Linked DNA regions of Sus scrofa. The protein of the gene in region 2 purifies or fractionates together with the protein of the main gene of each other region. This does not show direct contact. Links are inferred from orthologs where the notes say so. Each region holds a gene or a part of one and is shown on either strand. Other genes may lie near its edges.

Region 1 (2,709 bases), on a different chromosome or scaffold from region 2:
TTCCTGAGCTGAGGAAAGGGTATTCACAGGGGTGGTGATGTTTGAGTGGACATTGAGAAATGAGTTGCCCAGGTGAAGGAGGGTGGGGCCTGGAGGGGAAGGGTGGCATTCAGCAGAGGGAAGCACACCAGCAGCAGCACAGTGGTGCCAGTATGTAGTATGTGGGCCAGCATGACGTGGGGGATGAATGCTGAAGTATGTGGTAGGAAATATTTGTTGGGGTATTTCAAAGGGAAAGGGAACCTTGAATGCCTTGCTGAGTAGTTAAATCGTCACCTATAAGCAACAAGGAACCAACCATTACTAGAGTTGTAACCTAATAAGGTAGTCATTTAGCAAATACCAAGTGCCTACTATGTGCCTTGTAGTAAGAGCGACAAAAAAGCCTGAATTCTCTCTGAGGAAGTCTGTGTCCTCAGTTACATTAGAATCTAGTGTTGGAGTTCCCGTCCTGGTTCAGTGGTTAATGAATCTGACCAGGAAGCATGAGGTTGTGGGTTCGATCCCTGGCCTTGCTCAGTGGGTTAAGGATCTGGCATTGCCTTGAGCTGTGGTGTAGGTCGCAGACGCGGCTCAGATCTGGCATTGCTGTGGCTGTGGTGTAGGTTGGCAGCTACAGCTCCGATTGGATCCCTAGCCTGCGAACCTCCATATGCTGTGGGAGAGGCCCTAGAAAAGGCAAAAAGACCAAAAAGAAAAGAATCTAGTGTGAGCGGAGTTCCCTTGTGGCACAGCAGGTTAAGGATCCTGTGTTGTCACTGTAGCAGCTTGGGCTGCTGCTGTGGTATGGGTTTGATCTCAGGAAGTTTCACATGCCATGGGCGTGGTCCCCCCAAAAAAAGTGTGAGAATGAGATGTAAAAAGTAATAGACTCCTCACAGTATCAGGCTCAAAGTCTGTAGGACCAAAAGCATAGAGCACATGCAACTAAAGGTCAGAAAGGCTTCTTGGAACAAGTGATACTGGAGCTTAGAGCAGCAAAAGGGAAAGATTTGGGGGTTGATAAGGAGGCCATTTTCGGCTCAGTATTGTTAGAGCTGGAAGGCTCTTAGAGATCCGTTCAAATTGGAGGGCTGAACACAGTGGGAAATGAGAAACCCAGGCTGGTCCTCCCTTCTCTCTACCACCCAGCATGAGGAGGAGTGGGTGATGAGTAACAGAAGATAGTGCTGCACCCCCACTTTTCAGTCTGAACTTCGAATAGCTTTTCTTGAGGCTCAGCGTGACCAGGATGTGTCCTTTCAGGTCATGTCCAAAGTAATGGAGATGTTCCAGCCTAGTGCGGTCGTCTTACAGTGTGGCTCTGACTCCCTGTCTGGGGATCGGTTAGGTTGCTTCAATTTGACCATCAAAGGTGAGACCAGGTAGCATAGGGACGGATGGGCAGGGTCCTGCTGGGTGCTCCTGTAACTTGGCACCCCTTCTCCCACTAAAGGGCACGCCAAGTGTGTGGAGTTTGTGAAGAGCTTCAACCTACCTATGTTGATGCTGGGAGGAGGTGGCTACACCATTCGTAATGTCGCCCGGTGCTGGACATATGAAACAGCTGTGGCCCTGGACACGGAGATCCCTAATGGTAATAGCTCCAGGGCCAGATTGGGCTGGGAGTGCTGGAGCGTGTGTGTCCTGAAGTTCACAGCCCCATTCTCATTGGCCATACAACCTCTCCTCTTCTGACTTGATTCTCCTGCTGTCCTCTTGTGATTTCCAGACCATAGCTGTCAATTTTTCTGGGTCTTGACCCTATGCTTTCTCCCCTTTGCTTCTGGTCTGGACAGAATTACCAGCAGTTGTATATGCTTTTGGAATTAATACTCTATAGGGTAACTGGGATAGTTAAGTGAAGGAGTGATCACAATGAGTTATTGCCTAAATTTTTCTTTTTTTCTTTTTAGGGCCACACTCCTGACATATTGAAGTTCCCAGGTTAGGGGGTGAATCAGAGATTCAGCTGCCGGCCTACACCACAGCCACAGCAATGCAGGATCTGAGTTGCATCTGTGACCTATACCACAGCTCCACAGCTCGCGGCAGTGCCAGATCCTTAACACACACACACACATACACACACTCTCTCTCTCTGCAGGATCTGAGCTGCATCTGTGACCTATACCACAGCTCGCGGCAGTGCCACATCCTTAACACACACACACACACACACACACACACACACACCACTCCCCCTCCAGTGCCACATCCTTAACACACCCACACACACACACACACACACACACACACACACACACACACACACACACACACACACACACACACACACACACACCACTCCCCCTCCAGTGGACACTGGAGAGTCGCTTTTAAAAAACTGAAATCCTGGAGTTAAGGATCTGGCATTGCTGTAGCTGTGGTATAGGTTACAGGTGTGGCTTGGATTCAGTCCCTGGGTTGGAAACTTCCATATGCCAAGGGGTTGTAGCCAAAAAAGAAAAAAAAAATTAAAAATTGAAATCCTATAGGTACCCAAGTCTCACCCTATCTTGGAGGCACGCTTCTTTGATAGTTGGGCTGACAGGTCCAGATAAACCTATAGATGCTTTTCTCAGGGTCCCATGGTCACCAGATCTCTTGACTCTCTCACCCCCTGCCCCAATTAGAGCTTCCGTACAACGACTGCTTTGAATACTTCGGACCAGATTTCAAACTTCACATCAGTCCTTCCAATATGACTAACCAGAACACTAATGAGTA
Region 2 (3,654 bases):
AATTTAATTTTGAGTCAAGCAAATGGCAAGCTATTAGGTGAAAGAGAGTGCACCTTTGTTCCAGGGCCAGAACAGAACGCACAGATGCTGGAAACTCTGGCCACGTGCCACTGTGCCCTCTGACCACCGGGACCTTCCCTGAGGCTGGGACGGGCCAGCCCTGTGATCGGGCCTCGGCTCCAGGCCAGGGGCCCCCAGAAGAACGGGAGACTGGGTACCTTCGCTCCCAGCCTCTCAGCGGAGGGAGGGTCCACGGGCCCGAGCAAGCTGGCCCGGCAGGGGAGGGTCGCGGCGGGCCGGGGTGCATACCTGATGGCCTCGGCCATCTTCGTGCTCTCTCTCTTCCTGTCGTCGGTCAGCCGCCGGATGAAGTAGATGAAGTCAAGGCCGCAGCAGAAGACGCTGCCCACAGCGCTGAGCAGCACCAGCTTGCTGTCGTCGGCCGCCGCCGTGCTCAGGGCACTCTGCACCTCCTTCATCACCTGGAAGGCAGGGGGGTCGCGGGGCTGCGGGGAAGCCTGCGGGCCCCCCCCCACCGGGCACCTGGAGCCTCGGAGAGCACCTTGGGGCCCTGCCTCCATCGACCACCACTTACAGGGACCCGCTAGGTCCGTGTGCTGTGAAGCCAGGGGCTGGGGCTCTCGGGGGCTGCGTGTCATCACGAAACTCGTTAGGACAGACGTGTCCGTCTAACTAACCTGAACAGCCTAGACCTGGCGGCTCTGGGAGGCGAGTCACGGATTACAGTCCCTTGGCATTTCTACAGTTTGGACAGCAGATGGCACAGGCATCCAGTTCTAAGAAACTGCTAGTTCAGCTCTGTTTTGTTTGTCTGACACCAGCCTCCCAACTGGGGACTGAAAGCCCAGCGTGGGGCATCGTGTGGCGAGTAGGAGCCCGTCAGCGTGGAGTGGTGTTTGACTGAGGGACAAGCCTTTAAAATGGCCTCTATGGAGTTCCCCACGTGGCTTGGTGGTAATGAACCCGACTAGTATCCACGAGGCTGCAGGTTTGAAACCTGGCCTGGCCTTGCTCAGTGGGTTAAGGATCCGGCGTTGCCGTGGCTGTGGGGGCAGGCTGGCAGCTGCAGCTCTGATTTGACCCCCCCACCTGGGAACCTCCATTTGCTGCGGATGAGCCATAAAAAGCTCACACACACACACACAGTCTCTGTTGAAGTACTTAGAAACAGGCAGTCAAAGTGCCCTGCAGTGTAACAACTTACTGAGGACCAGCCCTGAACCGGTTTGTCCTGGAACCCTGGCCAGACACACTGGCTGTCTGCGGTTTGGTTTTCTCGTCTGGAAAAAGGTCGACCTGGGTGCTCACAAGTGGGAGAGAGACCGGAACTTAACAGGCTACAGGCCTGACACGGTGCAGGTCCAAACGCTTCCGACCCGAGGGACGTCCCAGAACCAGGTTTTGAAGCTCTGCAAGCACCGGTCTCTCTCGGTCTCGGGGGCTGCCTTTACCAGCACGATGGGAACGGAACCACCTCGGCCGGAAGTTCCCGTCCAAGGAATGCTGGGGACTGACTGGGAAGGGCGGTGAGGTTTTCTAAGGGGCTGGGCTGGGGCGTGTGACTCCTGTCTGAACAGCTCCTGGGGACGCCGACGAGAGTGACGGGACGGCTGGTGCACACAGCTCACGCGTGATGTCAGAGAGCCCCCTGCCCCGATGGACGGCTGCCGACCTGGAGGCGGGAGCACAGGGGGCCCGGCCGCCCTTGTGCAGGCAGCTGTACACCTGCTGCGCTCCCCTGGCTCCAGCCCCAGGGACCCGGCCGGCGGGGCAGCCCCGAGGCCCCTGCTCACCTCCGGGTTGAGTGAGTTGTTCTCCGACGACTTGGTGGACAGCAGGATGTGGGTGAAGCCGTCCTGCTTCCGGACGACGATGTCTCGGTACCTGTAGGCGCTCTCCGTCTGCCTCACGCTGAAGCGCAGCCGCTTGTCGAAAGGCTGGTCTCGTCTGTCGTCAATGAACTTCCTCTTCCCGGCTGTCACGCCTGTGACCGACGGCTGTAGGCTGGTTGGCCCATTGGCCGTCAGCACGTCCATGAACGGAGAGGTACCTGCCAAGGCGACAGCCACAGCGTCCTGAGGTCCTGCCACCAACTTGCCCCCCAGTGCCGCCTGTGAATTAGGTAAAACGCTCATGACAGACCCAGGATCAACTGTACTGACTTAAGAATGCTAAAAACGAGAACCTTCTGAGAGTCTACTTTTTTACCGGCTGCACTTGTGGCATTCGAAACTTCCCGGGCCAGGGACTGAGCCCGTGCCACAGCAGCGACAATGCTGGATCTTCCACCGGCTGAGTTACCCGGGAACGCCAGTAAATGCCTTTAAATGTAGACTCCAGCATCCCCTGGTGGCGCAGGGGGTTAAGGACCCAGCGTTGTCACTGTTGTGGCGCGAGTTCAGTCCCTGGCCCAGGCAGTTATACACGTCATAGATGCAGCCAAAAGTCAAAAAACCAACAGGCCAAACCCTCCAGGTCAAGGCATTTGTTTTCCTTCAAAGTCTGACAAGGAACTTGCCCTTTTCCTTCTCTTTGCTAATAAAATAATGATGAAAAGGCATGTAATGAAAAGAAGCTGCCACATTTGAGAGTTTTAAAGAATGGAATTCAAAGAGAAGGGGTCTCGTGAAAAGCACATGTTCCACATAGGACAGGCTGAAAGAAAAGAAGGAAATTGATCAATAAACATCTTAATATTAGAGCCGAGGCTATCTGCCATTTGGCCAAAATTTCTTCTGAATGAAGAGCCGCTTTTCAGACACATGATGGGCGGGCACCCCCACCCCGCCCGAGGCCACTCCAGACACTCGGGGTCTTTCTCTGGACGCCTCGACCTCTGTCCGGCGGTCCTCCTTCCGCATCTGCAAACAGCGCCCTCGCCCGCCACCGAGGATGCCCCGCTAGCGCCCCCGCTGGGTCAGCTCCACAGCGCCAGCCTGGCTGCTGGGCTTCCATCAGCCTCAAGGGCACAGCCTCCTGAACCTAGCGTCTCGCGCAACCACCAGGTCAAGGGTTTTGCTGAACACTTTCCCCGCGTTACCAAGAAACGCCAGGGTACGAGGTCAGGTGTTGCGGCAACTCACTGCCCTCCTGCGCACGTCGGAATATCATCCAACGGGAACGAAGCGCAGAGGCTGCGAGGGGAGCTGAGGGCCGGAAATGAAAGCGCCGGACCCCGCTCTCCTCAGAGGCAAGGCGGGGGTCCTCGGAGGGAGAGCCAGGGAACTGAGTCAGAGACGGTTCCTGCGGAGCCAGAGAGGAGCCCGCACTGGGCAGACGACGCGCGAGGGAGGCCGCATCAGCGCCGCAGAAACACGCTGGCTCCTGCGCGGCGGGCGCAACGACCCTGGGGCTTTGCTGGGTCTTTTTAGGGCCACGCGCCCGGGGTGTTTCTAAGGGAAAGGGCGTCCTTACCCGCGAGACGGGGCGCCGCCGCCTCTTTCCGAGGGGTCTGGCAAGGACCCCTCTTCCTTTCAACCTCCAGCCTCTCCGCCACCAGACCCCGCACTGCGTTCCCGGCTCGGCTACACCCTCCGCGCGGCGCTTCCCAGCGCTGCCCTCTGTTGGCGCGCCCGTCACAGCCTCGCCTGGGCTGTCCCTTGGGTGCCCTCGTTCCCCTGTCCTGAGCAGGAC

Evidence for each region.
Region 1: the proteins of CDYL (region 2) and HDAC1 purify together in Homo sapiens (affinity purification with mass spectrometry; 6 studies listed by BioGRID and IntAct, counting the BioPlex papers as one, with this or other methods). This does not show direct contact. The link is inferred for Sus scrofa from reciprocal best matches to the Homo sapiens genes CDYL and HDAC1.

Annotation. Positions count from the first base shown.
Region 1 is NC_010448.4:88,780,504-88,783,212, forward strand, and holds part of HDAC1 (histone deacetylase 1), read left to right. Parts: intron 1-1,245; coding exon 1,246-1,354; intron 1,355-1,435; coding exon 1,436-1,576; intron 1,577-2,615; coding exon 2,616-2,709. UniProt on the Homo sapiens protein: Histone deacetylase that catalyzes the deacetylation of lysine residues on the N-terminal part of the core histones (H2A, H2B, H3 and H4).
Region 2 is NC_010449.5:2,950,403-2,954,056, reverse strand, and holds part of CDYL (chromodomain Y-like protein), read right to left. Parts: intron 2,072-3,654; coding exon 1,815-2,071; intron 483-1,814; coding exon 310-482; intron 1-309.